Elephas maximus indicus: one gene and its partners. The protein of the gene in region 1 interacts with the protein of each later gene in a biochemical or structural test. Links are inferred from orthologs where the notes say so. Each region holds a gene or a part of one and is shown in the gene's direction. Other genes may lie near its edges.

The links. The genes of interacting proteins can lie anywhere in the genome.
Region 2: the proteins of NF2 (region 1) and CD44 form a complex in vitro, tested with the Homo sapiens proteins (2 studies listed by BioGRID, with this or other methods). The link is inferred for Elephas maximus indicus from reciprocal best matches to the Homo sapiens genes NF2 and CD44.
Region 3: the proteins of NF2 (region 1) and DCAF1 form a complex in vitro, tested with the Homo sapiens proteins (3 studies listed by BioGRID, with this or other methods). The link is inferred for Elephas maximus indicus from reciprocal best matches to the Homo sapiens genes NF2 and DCAF1.

Annotation. Positions count from the first base shown.
Region 1 is NC_064840.1:26,936,886-26,944,275, reverse strand, and holds the start of NF2 (merlin), read left to right. Parts: upstream 1-4,385; 5' UTR 4,386-4,838; coding exon 4,839-4,952; intron 4,953-7,390. UniProt on the Homo sapiens protein: Probable regulator of the Hippo/SWH (Sav/Wts/Hpo) signaling pathway, a signaling pathway that plays a pivotal role in tumor suppression by restricting proliferation and promoting apoptosis.
Region 2 is NC_064825.1:90,449,536-90,457,551, forward strand, and holds the start of CD44 (CD44 antigen), read left to right. Parts: upstream 1-5,012; 5' UTR 5,013-5,189; coding exon 5,190-5,259; intron 5,260-8,016. UniProt on the Homo sapiens protein: Cell-surface receptor that plays a role in cell-cell interactions, cell adhesion and migration, helping them to sense and respond to changes in the tissue microenvironment.
Region 3 is NC_064838.1:55,676,637-55,684,524, reverse strand, and holds the start of DCAF1 (DDB1- and CUL4-associated factor 1), read left to right. Parts: upstream 1-4,884; 5' UTR 4,885-5,076; intron 5,077-5,505; exon of another isoform or gene 5,506-5,812; intron 5,813-7,888. UniProt on the Homo sapiens protein: Acts both as a substrate recognition component of E3 ubiquitin-protein ligase complexes and as an atypical serine/threonine-protein kinase, playing key roles in various processes such as cell cycle, telomerase regulation and histone modification.

The DNA of each region.
Region 1 (7,390 bases):
TGGGCAAATCTGCTCCAAAAGATCTCTTTCAGGTGTTAAAAAGCAAAGATGTCACCTTGAGGTGGTACTAAGGTGCGCCTGACCCAAGTCAGGGTATTTTCAGTTGTCTCATATGCTTGGGAAACCTGGACAATGAATAAGGAAGACTGAAGAATTGATGCCTTTGAATTATGGTGTTGGAGAAGAATATTGAATATACCATGAACTGCCAGAAGAATGAACAAATCTGTCTTGGAAGAACTACAACTAGAACGCTCTTTAGAAGCGAGGATGGTAAAACTTTGTCTCACGTACTTTGGACATGTTATCAGGAGGAACCAGTCCCTGGAGAAGGATATCATGCTTGAAACAGGGTCAGTAAAAAAGATGAACACCCTCAATGAAATGCACTGACACATGCCCACAACGATGGGCTCAAACATAGTAATGATTGTGAAGATGGTGCAGGACCAGGCAATGTTTCATTCTGTTGTACGTACGGTTGCTATGAGTCAGAACTGACTCTATGGCATGTAACAACAGCATCTGGGTGAGCAAGTGACTTTATCATGCTAAAAGTCTCATCTTCTTCATCTGCAGAGTGGGGGTAATGCTGATGATGGTTAACACTTATGTGTGATTAAATCTTCTCTACTGGACAATTAAAGAGCCCTGGTCAGAATCGACTTGATGGCAATGGGCTTGGTTTGGTTTTGGTGGCACTGTGGTTAAGAGCTCAGCTGCTAACGAAAAGGTTGGCAGTTCAAATCCACCAGCTGCTCCTCGAAATCCTATGTGGCAGTTGTACTCTGCTCCATAGGGTCACTATGAGTCAGAATTGACTCTATAGCAACAGGTTTTTTTTGTTTTGTTTTGTGGCACAACAGTTGGGTGCTTGGCTGCTAACCCAAAGGTCGATGGTTCAAACCTACACAGCGACTCCACAGGAGAAAGACCTGGCTATGAAAACCCTATGGGGCAACTGAGTCCAGCACAACTAGATGGTGCCTGGCCACCACCACTGACTGCTCTGACAAGGATCAAAATAGAGGGTCCTGGACAGAGCTGGAGAAAAATGTAGAACAGAATTCTAAATTTACAAACAAACAAACAAATCAGACTTACTAGTCTGACAGAGACTGGAGAACTCAGACAGTATGGCCCCTGGACTCCTTTTTACCTCAGTAGTGATGGCACTTCTGAGATTCATCCTCCAGCCAAAGATTAGACAGGTCCATAAAACAAAACGAGACTAAATAGGCACACTCGCCCAAAATAATATGTGTATTAATTGTTTAATGAGAAACCAATTTGCTCTGTAAACCCTCATCTAAAATACATTAAAAAAAGAAAGAAAAAAACTCCTATGGGGCAGATCTACCCTGTCACATGGGGCCACTGTGAGTTGGAATCAACTCTCCGGCACATAACTACAACAACAACAATTCAACAATTAAAATAATTTAAAAATAAAATCAATTTTGACGATTAGAAATTATCTTAAAATTTATTGTTATATGTAGGAAACCCTGGTGGCGTAGTGGTTAAGAGCTATGGCTGCTAACCAAAGGGTTGGCAGTTTGAATCCACCAGGCGCTCCTTGGAAACTCTATCGGGGTCAGTTCTACTGATAAGGTCGCTATGAGTCTGAAACGACTCAGTGGCACTGGGTTTGGTTTTGGTTTGGTATATTTACAACAACAGCAACAAAAAAAATTATTATTTTTTTAAATACCAAAGCCAAACCAAACCCAGTGCTGTGGAGTCGATTCTTACTCATAGCAGCCCTATAGGACTGAGTAGAACTGCCCCATAGGGTTTCCAAGGAGTGGCTGGTGGATTTAAACTGCTGACTTTTTGGTTGGCAGCTGAGCTCTTAACCACAGCACCACCAGGGCCCCCTTTATTTATTTATTTTGTTGTGCTTTAGGTGAAAATTTACAGCTCAAGTTAATTTCTCATTCAAAAATTTATACATTTTTTTTTTTGTGACATTGGTTGCAATCCCCACAATGTGACAGCATGTGCTTCCTTTCCTCCCCAGGTTCCCTGTGTCCATTCATCCAGTTCCTGTCCCTTCCTGCCTTCTCGTCCTGCTTTTGAACAGGAGCTGCCCATTTGGTCTCCTATACTTAATTGAATTAAGAAACCCAGTTCCTCATGTGTGTTATTCTTGTGTATGTGTAATCTTTGTCTGAAAAGTGGGCTTCAGGAATGGTTTCAGCTCTGGGTTAACAGAGCTTCCGGGGGCCATAGTTTCAGGGGTTCCTCCAGTCTCCGTCAGACCAGTAAGTTTGGTCTTTTTATGTGAATTTGAATACTGTTTTACATTTTTCTCCTGCTTTGTTTGGTACTCCTTGTTGTGATCCCTGTCAGGGTGGACGTTGGGGGTAGCTGGGCACCATCTAGTTCTTCAGGTCTTAGGTTGGTTGAGTCTCTGGTTTACACGGTCCTTTAGTCCTTAAGGATAATATTTTCCTGTGTCCTTGGTTTTCTTCCTTCTCCTTTCCTCTGGGTTAGACAGGACGAAAAGATGTATCATAGATGAGGGCCCTTTTCAAAAAATAAAAAAAAAAAAAAACCAAACCAAACCTGTTGCCTTCAAGTCGATCCCAACAAATAGCAACCCTATATTTTTAAACACAGGTATAATTCAACCCCACACACACATCCATTATAAATGTAAGGAAAAATACAAATTGAAAATAACAGGTTTCAGTTCTTTTAATGGCAGAATCTTCCTTTGACTTTCTGAAAAGTATATAAGTCAAGGATGTTTCCTCAGTGGTCTCAGAGCCATTTGATTTGAAACGTAATCATCAAGAAACCTTAGACCTTAAACCAAAAACATCCCCCGAAGACATCTTAAAACAATAGTTTATCTTAACTAGTATAAAACGTCTGCCTTGAGCATTATGCTCTTTTAAGAGGTATCTATATGGGATCAAGTTGACAACAGCAACTTGAAAAATTAGACAGGAGCCTTAGGGGGCAGTGGGTTTATGTTAATGAGAGAGGGACAACTCAGAAAAGGAGGGTGAGAATGGTTGCACAACTAAAAAGTAATTAATGTCACTAAATTGCACATGTAGAAACTGTTAAATTGGTGTTTTGTTGTGTACATTCACACACACACACACACACAAAATTTCCCATCCCTACCACCCACTTTCCTGGAAGATGAGCATAACTTTAGGTCTCCTGACATAGATACTGGAAAGTTAGCAATTTTGTCTTAAACTTGGTTGTACTGAGTTCTATCCCCTCAGCTATGTAAAAGATAGGAGCTTTGGTGGCCACAGTGGTCAAGAAGTCGGCTGCTAATCAAAAGTTTCGCAGTTGGAATCCACCAGCCACTCCTTGGAAATCCTATGGGGAAGTTCTACTCTGTCCTGTAGGCTCGCTACAGTCGGAATCGACTGGACAGCAACGGATTTTTGTTTTGTTTTATATAAAGGATAAGGTTTCTTTCTGTTCTTGCAATCTCTGTAGTGGATTCCCTGTGATGCATCACATTCTGGTTTAATGCTTATTCAATAATCAAACTTTTCTTTCTGTCGTTTTTGTGGAGAAGTTTTCTGGGTTGAGAGTAGATTCGTTTCAATTCCCTCCCCCCAGCATAATCCTTGATGATATTAAAACATAAATAGGAAGCATATATGGTTAAAAAATGAAAATCATAAAGTACAAAATGAAAAATGAAAATTTTCGAGCTTTTTTGATCTACCAAAGCAACAATTTCATTGGATCCAACCTAGTATGTGCCGGCCACCGTTTTAAAGCTTTATGTGTATTAACTCGCTTAAACTCCTGAACAACCCCATGAGGTAGGTGCAATTATAATCTCTCTTTGACAGTAATTAGTATCACTTCTAATGCGAGGCTGAGGAATCCGGCGGGACAATGTCAGCAACCAAACAGGCCTCCACAAGTGTTTTAAAAGTCGTGAAACACAGAGGTCATTGAATGTAGTTAATTGAGAGCCAAAAAGGAACATCCGCCTGGCGTCTAAAATACACCTTCTGAGGCGCCATACGCAGGGCGTGCTCTGTCAAAAATGCAGTTCCTAGCTGGACTAGGAAGGAACCCAACTCGTGCGCTCAGGAACACGCCCGGACGTGGATTCCCGGGAGAGGCGCGCCAGGCTGCGCCGCCTCAACCAGTCTTGCTAGAGTAGGCGTACACTCACGAACAAAAGCATTCGGAGTGACTGCTGCTACAGCTATTCAACGCCAAGCCCAAGCTCCCGCCTACAGCTAGAGCGGAACTTTCAATTGGTGGAGCTAATCAGAAGCAGGCGGGACGGAACAGAAAATCCCCGCCTCCCTTGGAGTTGTCAGCCAACCCCGGCTTCTGGGAGGCAGCCGCCGGGTTGCGTTGCGCCGTGTGTAGTCGTCTGAGGGGCCTGGAGGCGGGGCGGGAGTCGGTCGGGCGCAGCAGGGAGGGGACGCTTGCCGGGGGCGCGCGGAGCGGGAAGGGTGAGAGGCACGCGCGCGTGTGCGCGCCCAGCTGTAGCGCGTCTCCGCGACCCCCGTGGGCCGCTGTCGTCTTAGCCGCCCTCTTCCCCGGCGTCCCCAGCCCGACTCCCTCCAGTGCCGGGCCGCGTCCGCCCCGTCGGTCCCGGCTCGCGTACCCTCCCCGTGGCCAGCAGGGCCCGCCCCCGACGCCCCTTTTCGCTTCTGGGCAGGGTCCTTGCGGCCCATGCGGGCCGTAGGGGCCCCGCGCCGCCCAACCCGCTCCCGGACCGGCCGGCCGGCCACCATGGTGGCCTTGAGGCCTGTGCGGCTCCTCCAGGGGGGTTAACCGGTCCAGAGCGCAGGCCGCGGGGGCACAGAGGTCCCGGGCCCGAACCCCGCACCATGGCCGGGGCCATCGCTTCCCGCATGAGCTTCAGCTCTCTCAAGAGGAAGCAGCCCAAGACGTTCACCGTGCGGATTGTCACCATGGACGCCGAGATGGAGTTCAATTGCGAGGTAACCGCCGGCAACCTCGACGGGCCGCGGCGAGGGGCAGCCCGACCGAATCCCTGTTTACCCGGCCCTGTCCCGGATCCGGCACTGACCTGGGCGCCCCCGCCGTGGGGTCAGTCGAAGTGGAAGCTTGAGGGATTCTCCTTATATCATCATCTGGGTATAGATAAGAGACGGGTGGAAATGGAAGGGGTCGTCTAGGCCCAAATCCTCATGTTGAAGATAATTGCTACTTTTCTTCATAGGGCTTTTGGGTTTGGAAGCACTTCCTGAAGATTTTCATTCATTGTTACTGGAAGGGGTTGCGGGCGTCCATGGTAGAGAATTCTCGTTTTCAGTGTCAGGCTTAAGTTCTGGCTGGGTGGTGGCGTAGTGGTTAAGAGCTACGTCTGATAAGGAAAAGATCGGCAGTTCGAAATCACCAAGTGTTCCTTGGAAACTCTATGGGGCGGTTCTACTCTGCCCTATAGAGTTGCTATGAGTCTGAATAGACTTGATGGCAATGTTTGTTTGTTTTTTGGGGGTGAGTTTTTAACTTTATTAGGTAATATTGTTATGCACCCCGGGTATTAAAAGCAGCGTCTTGTATATTGAAAGTTTATACTTGTTTCCTGTTTCTGAAGCTTAAATTTTTCTGGAAAAGACTTTAAGAAAAGACATGCTGTCTTATACCTTGATGATAGCTGTCATTTGTTGAATACTTAATAAGTGCCAGACAGTCCTACATTTAATCCTTACAACAGCCCAGTGAGGTAGATACCATTATTATCATTCCCTTTCTCAAAAACTTTATATCTAGTAGATGGCAAAGTGAGGTTTTGAACCAAGCTCTTAACCCATTCAGTACTCCTTCTCAAGTAATTTAAATTCTTGCTACTCAAAAGTGTGGTCCGTGGACCAGCAGTATCAGCAGCAGTGACCTAAGTTAGGGGTTGGCAATCTTTTTCTGTAAAGGGTCAGACAGTAAATATTATTGGCTTTGCAGGCCATGGAGAGTCTTATTGCCACTACTCAGTTCTTCAACCCTACTGTTATAATGCAGAATCAGCCTTACACAGGGTCCCTAATGGCGTGACAGCATGAGGAGTTCTACTTACCTGCTCCTACTGAAACTGGTGAAAATTATAAAAACAACAGTTACCACCATTGAAAACTTCTTGAAATGGTCCTAAGGGGAAACAGGAAATGAGGAAACATCTACTCAAGAAAATCCATGAAAATTGGTAAAAAAAAAAAAAAAGAAAGTCTGTGATATTTAAATCAAGACCTCTCCCTCCCTCAGCCCTTCAGCTCAGGGAGGTGGAAGCTCCAATCCACACTGCTGCAATCAAGAACACAGGGCTCGCTCTCCCCTCAGCTTCCAGCCAGGGGACTTTCTTCCCAGGAAGAGCAGGACTTGCATGTTTATCATCTTGCACCAAGTTACCTGTTACCTGTGGGCTGGGGCAGACAAAAGGTGGGGGCTCTCTTCTTCTCCCCAGCCCTACTCATGGATGGAGGCTCTACCTTGGATATGGTGAACTGAGAACACTGGGGTGCCAACTCTCCTCGTGCCTTGGCTTGCGAAGCTATGGTTCCACACCAGGAGAGACAAACCAAGAAGACCCCAAGCTACTGCCCCCCCTCCCCAAGTGCTCAGCTCCTAGATCAGGGGTGCCACTCAGAGAGAAGCTTGCCTTGTTCCTACCCACACAGCTCCAGAGCTTGGCTCAGAGATTTTGCCAGGAGGAAGAAACAGGCCATGGAACAGATACCTCCTAATATCTTCCCAAAGAAACAGACTTCATTTGCAAAAGCTCTTGGAGAAGTTCATGGCTAAAGGTGCTCTTATGAACAGTTGGAGCTCAGGGCCATGATAAATGGACCCTGATAGCATGGGAGAAAAAATGTGAAATAGAACCTCAAATTCCTAAAAAAAAAGCCAGACCTACTGGACTGGTTGACACCAGAGGACTCCCTAAGACTGTTGCCCTGATATACTCTTCAAACCTTGAACCAAAACTAACCCCTGAGGTCACCTTGTAGCTAGATAACAAATTGGCTCAAAAGATAATATCACCCTTAAGTACTGTGATTTTTTAAAAATCACCTATTTGAGACCAAATGGTAAGCAATTACTTTAAAACAAAGATAAGAATGTAGGAGGGCAGGGAAACTAGATTAGTGGAAACAGGACAACCAGAACAGACATAATGAGAATGTTCATGCATTGTGAAAAATGTAACCAATGTTGCTGAACAACTTGTGTAGAAATTGTTGAATGGGAACCTAAACTGCTGTCCAAACCTTCACGGAAAACACCATACAATATTGTTAAAAAAAAAAAAAAAAAGGGAGGCGAAGCCAAGATAGCAGAGTAGTCAGACGCTTCTGGTGATCCCGCTTACAACAAAGACCCAAAAAAACAAGTAAAACGATTATATATATGACATGCTAGGAGC
Region 2 (8,016 bases), on another chromosome or scaffold:
TTTAACTTCTAAAGGTGTGTAAAACCCACTTTGTGACTGACATGGAAATGTCTAGAATCTAGAGACACCTTGTCCCCTTGGCATTTCCAAAGTGCAACAGTCCCACCACCTAGTTTATTTGACGTAGTTTGAGAGCCTTAGTAATCCCAAAGGCTTGGCTCTGTAATCACATTTGGTTAACTTGAAACTGATTAGTCATTCAAAATCATTTACCTTGAAGATTGCTTCCCAAATTACCAGTTTATTTAGACTTCACTAATAATTATTTCATGAGAGCTTTTCCACAACTGCTCATTTACATGTGAACCTTTCACATACGAGTGGGAACCGAGGATGATTTTTTTTAAGAGTTAAAGTTTAACTGGATTGGCACTTTTTCTTTACTCTGCTGGATTGCCCCTTTTCTGGGAAGCAGCACCCTGAAGGAATTGGATATTGTCCCTTTAGAAGAGTCCATGGTCTGCTGTATTTATAATCCTCACATTTCATGATTCAGCCACACGTCTCCCAGCCTTGATCCACACGCTCCAGCTTACGTTTGGTTTAGGTTTGATTTTGGTTTGCTTAAGAGGAGCAAGACTTATTACCAGTCAGAAGTCCTCAGGCCCCAATACTACAGTGCAAAAGAAAAAAAAAAAAAAAAGTTTACCAGAGTGAACCATAGTCTGGTTCCTCAGCAGTCTTCCCAAACTAGTTACCCCAGATATACGATATTGCTGCTTGTATCTGGAAATCACCACGTTCTCTAAGTGCTTCCATTTGTTAAGTAGTCCATTTATTAGCTCATGTAATTCCTGAAAAAACCTTGCATAGCGTGGCAGGAGGAAAAAGAACAATGACCTTTCATGCATTTATATAATGCATATGTATTGAGTGCCCAACATATGCCAGGCACTGGGATATGCCAGGCACTGAGAGCTGAGAATGGACTGCTGCCTAAGACACACATGACCCTGTCCTCTTGGAGCTTACACATTGTTGAGTCACTGAGTCCCTACCATGAGGCAGCCACCCTAGTAAAATGTCTTGATGCCTTCTTTCACTTACTATTCATAACAAACTGGGAGAAAGGCCTTATTAACCTTATAGTGGGGATGGAATAAATGAAACTCCCACAGGTTCAGTGACCTGAGTAAAGTCACCCGGCTGAGAAGGGGCGGGGCGGGGGGGGGAGCGGGGAAGAGGGTGTCCAAGCTCAAAGTGGGACTTTCTCAGTCCAAGGCCTGCTGACTGCATTCTGGATTCTTTCCAAACGGTGTGATCTCATGTCAACCCATATCATGTCAAGTTCTCTTTTCCAGTTTCCCACATCCCATAATTTGGCTTAGAAAGGTATCTGATGCAACGACACAACAGGTATCTAGCATATGATGAATAACTTTAAGGGTTTTAATCTTTTGAGAGGCTTAAAGAAGAGCAGGGGAGAGTCTGTGTGACCAGTGGTGGGGGTGGAGGTACTTGGAGTGGAAAGAGGATGAGAGAGGAGCTCAGAGAGGTGATCCAGGAATTCCCAAAGGCTGGCACTGACTCAGTAAGTCACCAGGTCAGTTATTTGAAATGAGTCATTTGTGGCATTGGGGCAAAAGCTTCAGTCCCTCACTAAATTATCGGGAAGCAGGCCAGCTAAATATTCCCCCCTGGGAGAATAATCCTAATTATAATCCCTAAAATTTACATGCCTCTTTAGAATTTGCAAAGCACTTTCGCAAAGGTTTTTTTTTTTTTAATTGTGGTCCATTGCACTTGCCCCTGGAACCCACCAGGGCTGGTTTCTCAGGTGGGTAGAGCTTTAAGCTCTACCTGGGAGCCAGTTTGTCTCAAGCAATGGGACCAACTCTTTTCTGCTATTGGCAAACACTTTTCAAAGCGCTTGCTCTTCAGGTAGGGGCTCAGAGGCACTGTCTTCATTTCAGATAGGTGACACCTTGAGTCATGGAATGCCAGCTACCAAGTAGATAGGGAGTTGTCCCAGCAGACAATGATTCTGAGCCCAAACTCTCTCTGAAAATGCAACTAGATCAGTCTGTAGTCATACAGGCTCTCCCTACCTTCAAAACTTGCATTGGCTCCCTCTTTCCTACATGGTCAAGTTCAAACTCTCTGGCATAGCTTACAACCTGGCCTCTCCTACCTCTTTAGCCTCCTGTCTTGCTGTCTCCCTCCCAAATTCTTCATCTGATCTAATGCTCTAGTCATTCAAAACTGCTCTCCACTCCCTAAACAAGCCATGTTCTTTCACCTTTCCATGCTCATACATAATTTTACTGTTAATAATTATAGCAAGCACACACACACACATATATATATAAAACAGTTGCCATGGATTTGATTCTGACTCATGGCGACTCCTTGTGTGTCAGAGTAGAAGTGTGGTCCACAGGATTTTCAATGACGAATTTTTCAGAAGTAGATTGCCAGATCTTTCTTCCAAGGCATCTCTGGGTGAACTCAAACCTCCAGCACTTTGGTTAGCAGTTAAGCATTAATTTCTTTTGCCACCCAGGGACTTAAACCCTTATATTGTTGAATGATTATTATATACAGCACTTTTGACTCATTCATAATCTTCCTAACAATCTTATTTCATAGATACTATTATTAATCCCCAGATGGAGTAGGGATTAAGAGCTATGGCTGCTAAACAACAGGTCAGCAGTTTGAATCCACCAGGTGCTCCTCAGAAACTCTATGAGGCAGTTCTACTCTGTCCTGTAGGGTTGCTGTGAGTCGGAATTGACTCCACGGCAGAAGATTTGGTTTTGCGTGTTTTTTTTTTTTTATTAACTCTATTTTTTACAGAAGGAAATTGAAGCACAGAAAGGCTAATTGACTTGTCCAAGGTCACACAACTCAAAAGCATCCAGGCTAGGGTTTGAACCAAGGCATTCTGGGTTCTGAATCCTTACTGTTAATCACTACAGAATATTGTCTGTGAATGTCTTGCCCCTGTAGGTTCCTATGAAGAATTCTTACCTCTTCTATACCTGGTTCAAATATCACTTCCACCATGAAGCCTCTCTGGTGTTCCCCAGGAGAGATTGGGGCTCCCTTCTCAGGGATTGATACCAGTCTGCACACAGGTATTTTGCAGCCCATATCATATTATGTGGTAATAGCTTACTTGTGAGTCTGATTCCCTACATGAGCATGAGATCCCTGACAGGGCCAGGTCTTATTTATCTTGATATCCTTGGGTACTCAGTACATGCTTGATGAGTGAATGGATGAGTTAATGGCTGGGTGCATTTTCTCTCAACTTCTCAAGTTATTTGAATAAATAACAAAATCTGATCTTCTGTCAGAAATTCTGGCATGGCTCCTTCAGCATCATGCCCCAGCCACTGAATGCCACTATCATATTTTGTGTATCTCACCAGGCAAGGCACCCATTCAACTTTACTTTCAGCAGTTCACATTCAAAACAAATACTGCTTTTGATTTCCAAATGTTATATCGTGGTATATTATAAACAGTTAATACTCTTGGCTGCTAACTGAAAGTTTAGAAGTTCTAGTTCACCCAGAGGCACCTTGGAAGACAGGCCTGGTGATCTACTTCTGAAAACCTTATGGAGCACAGTTTTACTCTGACACACATGGGGTTGCCATGAATCGGAATTGACTCCATGGCAACTGTTATATAAATGAACTATGATGTGAAATATAAGTTTTCAGACTCAAAATGTCTCTCCTGAAGAATATGACAATCCCCTCCTCTCTTTGATATTTACTGGGTAGGTTAGATGGGGGAAAGTAGATTAATGTTTGCATAGAATGGGAGCAAGAAAAGCATAATGTTTGTATGAATGGGAGCAAAAAAGAAGGGATGAGTGGATGGGTGGATGGGAAGATAAATAAAAATGGATATGTGAATGATAGAAGGACAATGGAGGAAGAGATATGTGGATATATGGATGAAGAAGAGGGTGGTGGATGGATCAGAGCGAGTTTATGCAGAGACATGAAAAAGAATAGATAAAAGGATGGATGAGAAGATGTCTGGTAGGGTGGGTGGAAGAATATGTGATTGGATAGATGGATAGATGAAAAGTTGTGTGACTGGATAAATGATTGGAAGAAAGATGGCTGAATAAATGTGTGAATAGTTGAAAGAATGTGGAAATGATGAATGGATGTGGGGGTGGATAAATGGATGGGTGAGAGCATGGAGGGATGTGTGAGTGGGTGGACAGTAAGATGGAGGGATGGATAAGTGCTGGCAGGTTGTAATGAAAGGTAGGTGGATAGATGAATGGGTGGATGGAGGGATGTTTGGGAGGATGAATGAGTGTGCGGGTGAGTGGATGGATGGGTGGATGGATGGATTGGACGGTGAACACATGGGTTTAAATAAAACACATGGGTTAGTGGAGGCAAATAGCCCATGAATGGCCATCTCTAGCTTTCCCTGGGCAGCTGGTTTCCGGCAGTTCTGGCAAGAACCAAAAATCCACCTGAGCGCTGTGGACTTTGTTTCTCCTTGAGGGGAAGAGGGACGTGCTCTCCCTCCTCCCCCAGAGAGAATCGCAAGCCCCTCCCATCTCTCTTCCCGGGCAGGGAAACCCAGTACCCAGTGCCCTCGGCAGGGAAGCACCATCCAGTGCAGGACCTCACCTCTGCCCTCCCTCCTCTCCCAGGATATCCAGCTGCCTGTGAAACCCAGAAAGAGCCATTCCCCAGCTGAATTCAAATGAAGCTTTGTGGACAGCAAGAGAGGCCGGAGGCTGGACCTAACGGTCTAGGTTTCAGGACTCAGTCATCCTACTTGCTTAGGCAGCCAATCCAGCTGGCTGGGAGAAGAAAGGGTGACCCGGGGGCAAGCGGGCTGGCGGGCGCTGGGAGGGCCTGGACCCCCAGGGCCGAAGGAGCCCTGGTTGACAGTCTCTGTAAAGAACGCCGCGGGGGCAAGGGGGTAGCTCAGAGGAGGGCTGGTATGACTTTAAACCTTTGCCGGCTGCTTAGTCACAGCCCCCTTGGGTGTGTCCTTCTCTCGCTCCCTCCCTCTTAGGTCATTCTTTCAACCCTCGAATAAAAACTGCAGCCAATTTGCGAGGCGGCCTCATTGCCCAGCCAGACCCCAGCCTCTGACAGGTTCCGGCCGCCCTCCTTGCCCTGTCCTGCGCCGGCCCCCGCCCTTCGCCCCGGGACCCTCCAGCTCTGCTCACTCGCTCTCCCCTTTGCCCGGATACCATGGACAAGCTTTGGTGGCGCGCAGCCTGGGGACTCTGCCTCGTGCAGCTAAGCCTAGCGCAGCACATCGGTGAGTGCCCGTTGAGTGGGACTGCGGGAAGGGGTGCCAGGAGTGCCCGGGACGCACAGCAGCCCCACTGGCAGAGTTGGCCCTGGGAACCTGAGTCAAGTGGGCGGCGAGCGACTTGGGTTTGGTTAAGATAAACTGGGCTGAAATTTGCGCTAAACTATTGGTTGGCGAATTTGTTGGTGGGAAGCATAGTTTTGTTGGAGGGAAAAGGGAAAGAAAGAAGAAAGTTGGCCGGGCAGGCTGCCGGCGCGCAGTTTTGGGTGAGGTCTCTAGAGCGCGGAGCACATGGCAGAAAGTAACTGTAGTCTTGGACGCGCAGCCGGTGTCTGGACTAACAGGCTTCTGTGCCCAAGGGCGCTGGAAGCCCAGACCTGGCTGGGGCAGAGCAGGGACTGGGGTAGCGGCAGGGGCAGGGGCTGGGGCAGGGGCAGGGGCAGGGATGGGGCTGGGGCAAGGGCTGGGGCAGGGGTAGGGGTAGGGGCAGGGCTAGGGGCTGGGGTAGGGGCTGAGGCAGGGGCTGAGGCAGGGTCTGGGGCAGGGGCTGGGGCAGGGGCTGGGGCAGGGCAGGGGCTGGAGTAGGCCGGGGCAGAGATTGAGGCAAAGGCAGGACAAGGGCTGGGTGGGGCAGGGGCTGAGGCAGGGGCAGGGACTGGGTTAGAGGCAAGTTGGGGGCAGAGACTGAGGCAAAGACAGTTTAGGGGCTGGGTCAGAAGCAGGGGCTGTTGGCAAGGTGGTCCCAGTCACGCCTGTGAGAGCTGCTGGCAATGAGCTTTCCAGAAAAGGGTCCTGGGTCTCTATCACTCATGACTGTGCCTGGGCTCCAAAGCTCTTACAGTCAGCTCCAGTCAGTGCATGTCTAGTGCTTGTGGGAACTTGAACTAGCTTCGCAAAGAGGTTCTGGATAGTGGTGCCAGCCTGGGGCAGGGAGTGTGAGTAGGAGAGACATAGACTGAAAGCCTGGAGCTATTCAATCCTTGCAGCCTCCTGTTACTGGCAGACAGTTTGGGGAAATCCAAACAGAAATATGGCTCGCATTCCCAGGCCAGGGATATGAGCCTCAGTGGGCCAGAGGGGAGCCTGGACCTCAGGATGACATCTGTGACCCTGGAGCTGGGGCTGCCAATGTCCCGTCCAAACAGGGGCTGTGCCTTTCAGGGGTGTGGAGGGGAGGTGCTGCGCATGTGAGGTAGCCCAGCCCAGCTGAACTCGAAGCAAGCGTTCCCTTTCTTTGTCTGTGTATGTACAGATAATTATATGGCTGATTTGCTTATCGCTAGCAAAATTAATTTTTCTTTTAAGAAGTGCCAGCTGGGTCATTGAGACAGCTCAGCCTATGGCTAATTCTACTCAGCAAGCATTTATTAAACCCAGTTCTAGGAGTACCAAGAAGGTAAAAGACATAGTCTCGCCTGGGTACTTTAGACTGAAGATAGGTGGGGAGTCAGGATTCAGTTTCCTGAAACAGAAATATGTAATGGTAGCAGAGGTAACAGCAGGCCTCACAATGACCCGATGAGAAGTTTTTAATGCTTGGAGGAAACCGAGGCTCAGAAAGGTTAAGTGACTCGTGGGCATTCACACAGCCACAAGTAGTGGTCTGGATTTGAACTCAGGTCCATTGAGTTCCAAAGGCTGTGCTTAGCTGGAATATGTTAGGTTGTGTGAGAAGGACAACTTGGAAAGGATTTGGGGGAAGGAGAGGTTGTATTGGACTAGAAGCCTTACAGCAGGTTTCAGAAGGGAACTAGAGCACCACTCAGCCCTTGAGAGGGAGGAATGTTCAAGATGGGAAAGAAGAGGGGAGACTGCGGGGAGGGTCCTGGGCCTGGCTGCAAAGACGACCACCCTGGTGGTCTCCCCATGGCCTCCAGGGAAGCTTGTTTACAGGTTAACTACCAGTGAAGTCTTGGGCTTTGTCTCTGAAGATTCTGACTCTTTCACCCTGTCTCTATGATATTTCTAAAGGGCCTACTTCCAAATATTTGGAACCAGCCTGACCCTAGAGGTTCTCCCAGGGATCAGCAGGCTCCTCCTGTCCTGGGTTTCCGTGGTCTCTTTGGGCAGCGTCATTTGGAAGCACAATGACGTGCTAGTAGCAATAACTGCCTCTGCCCTGACTGTCACGTGCTTGTGAAGTTGTTTGGAAGGAACTGAGACTTGGCAAGGAGACATGCTTTAAGCCAGGGCTTGGGGCTAGGCAGGTAGAGGGGAAAAGAGAAAGAGGAGGGAGGAAGGAAAGGTGCTGTTGTTGCCCCATCATGGGGAATAGTGAGCTATAGAAGACAATGAGGAAATGTTGGAAAGGGCAAGGCTGGCTTTAAGGGGGAATAAAGGGTCCAATCTCCTTATTGGAAAGTAAAATGTGGAGAAGTGGCCAACTGTTGTTAAGCAACATTGGACGCAGAAACTCTGACAGTTGGAGAGCAGGTGTCTTGAACCAGGTGTCCTATTCGGGGGGAGGAAAGTTGCCCTGGGAAGAGGGCAGGGGTTGAGCTGTCCTGGAGTTAGACATAGGCCCTCCCTGCGCATGTCTCCTTCCCTCTGTGAGCATGAGGCCATTGCTGGAAATTGCGCCCCTTGGTGTTGAGAAAGAGGGGTGCAGCTGAGAGTCCTGGGCAGTGAGGCTAGTATGAATCTTTTGCTCCCATTGACCCTTAAAGACTCCTTGTCTTGCTGGACATTAGAACTTTGAATGTATTTTCCCAGGTGAAGAAGCAAGGAGGCACATTTCCATCACTGCTGAGGTTAGCGTTAAGT
Region 3 (7,888 bases), on another chromosome or scaffold:
GAGAGAGAGGCTTTCCCTGGAGCTGATGCCCTGAATTGGGACTTCTAGCCTCCTAAGCTGTGAGAGAACAAATCTATTTGTTAAAACTATCCACTTGTATTTCTGTTATAGCAGCACCAGGTAACTAGACAGAATTTGGCCCTGGGAGTGGGGTGCTGCTCTAACAGATGGCTGAAGTGTGGAAGCAGTTTTGAAACTGTGAATGGGTAGAGGCTGGAAGAGTTTTAAAGTGCCTAATAGCAAAAGCCTAGGTTGACTGTTGGTGAAATTATGGATGTCAGACAACTAGGGTGAGAGCTCAGAAGGAAGAGAGGAAAGCTGTAACACTGGAGATGGCACAGATGGTGAGAAGCAGTAGCAGAGAAACAGCCACAGCAGAACTAGGAAACCGGTGTGAGACGGCGTGTGAGCTGACCCAAGAAGCAAGAAAGCTGAGAGCTTTTGGGTAAGAGATTTCCTGGCAGAGTACGGCACCTCTGGGCACTTGTTGGAGGAGGTAGGCTTTCTGACACACGGAGCGGGTGAGCTGAGTGCCTTTGGGCTTAGGCTTACTGGTGGAGTAGGGTGTCTTGAGGCACTTATTGGTGGAACTAAAGAGCTCTGTAGCACTTGCCCAAGCAGGGCAGAAGACAGGCTGGCCCAAGAGGCCCAAAGTGCTGAGAGGACAAGGAACCAGGAGAAAGAAGCTGAAGAGACAAGGAGGACAGGAAGCAGAGCTGCTTCAGTCTCAAAGGGTGGGGCCACAGCCTCCTAGGTTTCAGAGAGTCAGATCTTCACCAGTTCAGTTCCGGAGAGTGAGGCTGCTGCTCCTCTGTGCTGGGGGATGGGGTGGATCCACTGTCCAAAGCTGAGGGGATGGGGCTGCCATGCCCAAGGGACAGAAGAATGGGGACCGCTGGGTCTGAGGGGGCAGGGTCGCCACTCGGATGGACTAGGAGAATGGGGCCGCCAAAATCCAAGAGAGCAGAGTTGCCGTCCCAGTGGGGCTGAAAAGCAGAGTTGAAGCCCAGGGCTCAGGAGCCTCCACCCAGAATCCAGAAAGTGTGGCCAACACCCAGAGTTTGGAGGGCAGGGTCATTGCCTAAATTGTCCCAGGGAATGGATTATTTTCAAGTCTTGAGAGCTAATGTAATGTGTTCTGATGAGTTTTGGACTTGATTGTTCCCTGTTATCCCTTCCTTCCAATTTATCCCATTTGTAATGGAAATGTCTACCTTGTGCCTGTTCCACTGAGCTTTAGAAGCAGGTAACTTGTATTCTAAATTTCACAGATGAAGGGGAATTTTGCAGAAGATTTTTGGGATAATATGGGGTGAATGTCTTTCACATGTGGCAAGGACATGAATTTTAGGGGGCCAAAGGGTGGAACGTTATGGATTGAATTGTGTTCCCCAAAAATTCACATCAATTTGGCTGGGCCCTGATTCCTGGTATTATGTGGTTGTCTCCAACTTTATGGTCGGATGTAATTATGCTTTGTATTATAAATCCTAAGCTCTATGATGTTAATGAAGCAGGATTAGAGACAATTACGTTAATGAGGCAGGACAAAGTCTATAGTATTAGGTTGTACCTTGAGTCAGTCTCTTTTGAGATATAAGAAGCCAGCAGAGAGGAGAAAGACCTCCTACCACCAAGAAAGAAGACCTGGGAGCAGAGTTCAACCTTTGGACCCATGCTGACAAACTCCTAGATCTAGGGGAAGATTGATGACCAAGAGCTTCACCCAGGGCTGACAGAAAGAGAAAGTCTTTCCGTGGAGCTGGCACCCTCAATTTGACTTCTAGCTTCCTAGACTGTGAGAGAATAAATCTGTTTTTTCAAGCTATCCACCTGTGGTATTTCTGTTATAGCAGCACTAGATAACTAAGACAGTGGGGAATGCAATCACAGGCTGAACATCCAGGCCCTGGCTAGTTATGGGACCTGAGCATGGCAGCAGGCTCACTGTGTCTCCTTTTCTCCATTTAGAAATGCATGGTTAGACCAGGAACTTGCTCAGGACTCCCAGAGAGATAATGAGTTGTGTTGGGCCTTCAGGCTGGACAGGATTTTGTCAGGTGGAGAAACCACTCAACTAAGGAGTTATGTTTATCTTTCATATCCCCAAAGAGGGATCTTTGATTGAGAGTCAGGATTCATTCTGGTTCTACTGTTAAATTTGTTTTGCAATGTTTAGGCAAGCCACTCACCCTCTCTGGGCCTCATTTTTCTCAACTGCAAAATGAAAGAATTGAATGAGATGGCCTCTGAGGTCAGTCCAATCAAAAGTCCTCGGCTTCTGATTTTTCCTTTTCTCTGCCTCACATATAAACCTGGGAATACATATTTATTGACGTCTTGAACAGAAAGATAAAGAGCAAACAAACAAACGAAACAGTGCCTTCTGTTTAATGAGTGCTGTAATTTCTGGTATTTATTCTTGCAAGAAATATTTTCTTAGATCCTGGTATGTTCTAGGTATGATGGGGGGAAATGGGACAGAGGCTATACTGACACACAGAGTAGAATATAAAACACAGGAGACGTTGGGGGAGTGAGCAGCCATCTCAGATTGGAGGAGAAAATAAAGGAAGAAAATAGCTACTGAATGAAGCCTTTAAGGACAGGTGGAATTTTTTTAAAGACATTACAAAGGATACATAAAAAATTTCTTGCATTAAAAGGACAAACAATACAGAAGTACATGTAGTAAAATACACAAGTCCCCTTCACTTTTTCCCATCTGTAAAAATGGCACGGCCATGGCACCTCCTCTAACTTCACAAGGTCAAAGGAGTATCATGATCAACAGCCCAAGGCTGATTTCCTACGAGGCAGGGTCAGGCATGCTTCCTCTCTCTGCCGTCTTTACCTCTGACAGCATTCTCTACTTCTCTGCTGGATGCAATAATTCATTGTAATGGCCATACAGAACGCACAGACGATACTCACGATTATGAGGTTTATTAGGGAAGCAACAGGTTACAATTCAGGTCCAGGAACGCTCAGGATATAGTTCTTCCATCAAGACAGCCTCTTCTCAGCCATGCTCCCAGGCATGCCTCTCTCTGGTTCCCTCACCTCTTTCCTGCTTGGGCAAGTGTTAAAAAGATCTTTTAGCTCTGCTGTTAAGTGCCCTGAGGCACCCCACTCCTCCAAGAGGCCTCCATGGGTAGGTGCTTAGCTCTAGCTCTGTGGATCAGCAAACCTAGCTCTACCAAGTGTCTGGAGGCACCCTACTCTTCCAACAAGCCTCCTGCCTGAAGGTGCTCAGCTTTCTCCATCCGTGGGCTGGAAAGTCCACTGCACCGTCTCCTGCTGCCTTTTCTCTGCCACCACTTCTTACCATCTTCAGCGTTATAGCTCTTTATCTTTCTTGGTCACCTGGTTCTACAAGTTTCTCAGTGCAGAGGTCCTGGGTCCAAAGGACGCGCTCCGCTCCTGGTTCTTCTTCCTTGGTGGTGGTGAGAGCCTCTCTTCCCACCTGTGGGATGGCTCATTTTAAGCCTAGCGGGATGGCAAAGCCGATCAATCCCCTTGGTCAGCCACAATTACCTTATTTGCACAGTCCCAACCAATCACTTGGGTGGGAGTTATAGGACCATGGTGAGGAAGGCCACGCTAAAGCGGTCTTTGCACTGCACTATCCCTAGGGATAATCACCGTTAAACATTTTGGCACATGTCCTTCTTAATCCCTTTCCTATACACTTATATACAAAAGTCTACATTACACGTTTAGGATTTTTTATAAAACATATATATGAAATCATGAGGAATTATCCACCTTGCTTTGTTTACTTACACTAGGTTTTGGACATCCCTCCAGTCAGTAGTACCTTGTCTATTTTAAACAGCACATGTTTCTATAGGGTGGCGTTTCAGAAGCAGAACAGTGGGGTCATGGGGTACCTGCGACTTAAATTTTGATAGGCAAATTTTGATAAAATCCAACCCAACCCATGGTTCTTGAGTCGATTTTGATTCATAACGAACTTACAGGACAGAGTAAAACTGCCTCATAGGGTTTCCAAGCCTGTAAATCTTTACCGAAGCAGACTGCCACATCGTTCTGCCGGGGAGCAGCTGGTGGGTTCCAACTGCCGACTTTTGCTTAGCAGCGGCACTCTTAACCACTGGGCCGCCAAGACTCCTTCAAATTTTGATACTACTGAATGACCTTTGGTCGAATGCCAGCATCCCCAAATACTGGGGGTCGTTTGTGCTTTGTAGTCAAAGGAACTCTGAGACCATGACTCACGAGACCTAGTTCAGCACCCTGAGCCTCAGTTTCTCCATCTGTAAAAGGGGATGTTCTACCAGGTCTCTGAGCTCCTTCGGTGACTGGAATTTACATGAAGTTCTGGGGTTGACCATTGACCCATCACCACGTAATTACTGAACCGTACACAAGGAAACCCTGGTGGCGTAGTGGTTAAGGGCTGTGGCTGCTAACCAAAAGGTCAGCAGTTCGAATCCACCAGCCGCTCCTTGGAAACCCTATGGAGCAGTTCTACTCTGCCCTATAGGGTCGTTATGAGCGGGAATCGATCGACAGCGATGGGTTTAGTTTTGGTTTTACCGTACATAAGGTGCTGAGAACTGCGAAAGTATCAAGCTGTCACAGCCTTGCCTTGCCGGACGGTCCTTCACTTCACTTCCGCCTTCCCCAGACGCCAATGAGTCCACAGCAGTTCCTGCCTACAGTAAAAACTACAAATCCCAGAAAGCAATGTCACTGTGCGTCAATCAGGATGGGTGGGCCGCGCCCCTAAAAGCAGAACTACATTTCCCAGGCGGCCTCGGGACCCGCCGATTTTCCTCTGCTTGCGTTGCGTTAGCGTTCTCCCGCCCCTTATCCGCGAGCCTGGCGCCAACTCGGCGCGCGCGCGGGGTACGTAGCCAGCGAGTGACGTATAATATGTGGGCCGCTCAGGAGCCGTGGTCGCGCTGTGTGTGTCTGTGTGTGTGTGTGTGTGTGTGTGTGTGTGTGTGTGTGAGTGAGGGAGAGTGTGAGTGCGGGACTTGAGGCGGTGCGTGTGTGAACTGTGGCCGCTGGCGGGGTCAGGCGGGAGCGGCGGAGCCGCCCGGGAAGGTAAGTGAGGAAGGGAGGGATACGGCTCTCCCAGAGAGGGGCGGAGAGACAGGACGCGCGGGCGGGAGAGTGGGCGCCGGGCTGGGGGAGGGGCGGCACCTGCCTGGGCCGCGGGCGGGGAGGGGGCGGGCCGGCGGAGAGGCTGGGCCCAGGGCTTGACAGTCCCTTTTTCTCCTCTTGATTCTTGACCCGGGGGCGGGGCCTCCATAGTCTTCCTCTAGTCCCCAAAAGAAGCTTCCCGAGAGTACTTTTCCGCCCGGAATAGGGGGCAGGGGCATGCCCGCCCCTACCTGGAGAAGGGGCGCCGCTCATTCCCTTCATCACCTTTTTTCTCAGTCTTCCCAGCCTTCGTTCCGTACGGGCCGGGGGTCTCCATCTCCCCTGCCGTACGGCGGCCCCCTTCCCGGACGGTGTCTCCGCCTCCAGTCCCAGTCACCTGGGCGGTCTCTCCCTCCCTCGGCCTCGTGCCACCTCCCCTTCCGCCCGCCCTGCTCTCGGACGGGGCGGGGGGCGGGGCTTTCCGGGCATTCCTCTCACTCCAGCGGTGGAGGGGAGGGGCCTGGAGAGGTGTGCGGGTCCCTCAGCGTGGGGCCGACTTTCCGGCAGCCTGTTTCCGGGTTTACAGTTTTCGACAGGGTGTCAGAGGTGTTCGCTTAGCTCTTTTCTTTCTAAACGCTCTCCGTCTCGCTTCCTCTTACTGCGGTAGTAGCGCTCTGGGTTCCCATTTGTTGAGAAAGTAGGTTTGGAGTGTTTGTAGTACTTTTTGAGCCCCAAATGGCTCGTCTTTGTCTGCTTTGTGTTGGTCTCAGTCTTTCGTACTTTATCTTTTCATTGAAACATTTTAATTAGCCTACATGTTTTAATTATTAATTCATGTAGCAGCATCTTCCTGTTCTAAACGCTTCTTTAATGTACAGGTTGAAGGGTTCATTGGTAGTAAAAACCACTGCCGTCACCCTGTCATTTGCAGGCGTTTACCTTTAAGGTTTGTGAAGCGTGTATATTTAGACTCTTTAATTAGAAATTGATTTGATATTTTTCTACTTGATGTTGTCAAGATTTGGCTTTGTACGTAGCAGTATTCATTACCCACTTTCGAGTGGCGATAAATTTTTGGATGTTGAGATAATAAGGAGTCCTGGTTGCACAGTAATTAAGCTCTGTGCTGCAAATTGAAGGTCGGAAGTTCGAACCCACCAGCCACCAGGGGCTCCTCAAGAGCAGAGAGTCAGCTCCCGTGAAGATTACAGCCTAGGAAACCCTATGGGCCAGTTCTGCTGTGTTCTATAGGGTCTCTGTGAGTCTGACTCGACGGCACACGACAAGAAAAGAGATAATAGACACAGAATTGGTGGGAGTTTAACGGAGTCATCTTACGCTCAACATCTCTTGGGTAGTTGCTGAATAGTGTTTTACTGTTCTACCTGTTGTATAGCTGTTTAAATAGGGGAGGAATCTGGTAGAATGAACCACTCGTTAATTTGAAGTGGTTGGAGTTGGTTTATTGCCAATTTTCTTGTGTTGTTTTTGTAAAGGAGATGGTCATGGACGGTACTAAATAGGTTATATGTTCTCGTATTTTAATAGTAATTATTCCGTAAATTTTTACTTGAAGCTCTAAACTTGGATTCCCCCCCTCCCCCACAGATGGTTGTTTCAGTATTGTAACGTTTTAAGGGACCTGTCTTTAACATGAGGAGCCTAGTGGACAGTGGTTAAAGCGCTTGGTTGCCAACCAAAAGGTTGGAGGTTGCAACCCACCACCACTTCATCAGCTGCTCTGTGGGAGAAAATGTGGCAGTCTGTGTCCATAATGATTTATAGCCTTGGAAAACCCCGTGGGCAGTTCTACTCTGTCCTATATGGTTGCTGTGACTCCATGACAGTGGATTTAGTTTTTTTGGTTTTGTCTTTAATATGGACTTTATTTTTGGCTTTGGGATAGTTTCTGCAGAATAGGCATTTGCTATTGTGTATTAGAACTAAGAACAGATTTTATGGTTATATTAAAAAGTTACTGAAGGTTATAGTGGGAAAAAGGTAGAGCTGGAGTAAAAAGTGAAAAAATCTCTCTCCTACCTTTATCACCCAGAAAGTTACCTGCCAGAAGAGTAATAGATACAATTAGTTTCCTTATTCTTCCAGGGGCCTTTTATCCTAGAAGGAAGAGAGACAGGTAGGTAGATGTAGATATACACTTGTACACACACCCACCTTTCTCATTCACAATGATAGCATCCATGGGTAGCGCATGTGATTAAGCACTCAGGTACAGTGTTAGCTGAAAGGTTGGCCGTTCAAATCCAACCAGAGGCACCTCAGAAGGCAGGCCTGGTAATGCGCTTCCAAAGGTCACAGCCTTGAAAACCTTACGGAGCAGTTCTACTCTGCGTACATGGGGTTGCCGTGAGTCCGAATTGACTCGATGGCAACTAACAACAAATATGTTTATAGAGTTCTGCCCCTTGCTTTCCTCTCTTGACATGTGTTTGAGAGTTGATCCAATTCAGGAAAGAAAATGCTGCTTAGTTTTTTCCAACTTTTTACTGAGAAAAATTTCAAACATACAGGAAAGTTAAAGAATAGTAAAATGAATACATTTCTACCCATCCAGATTTTTATTTATGTACTGTATTTTTTTTTTTTAAATGTGTTTTCAGTGAAGGTTTACACAGCAATTTAGGTTCCCATTCAACAGTTTTTGCACAAGTTGTTCAGTAACATTGCTTATGTTCTTGACAATGTGTGAACATTCTCTTTTCCTTCTGGTTGTTCCCTTTCTGTTTATTTAGTTTTCCTGCCCCCTTACATT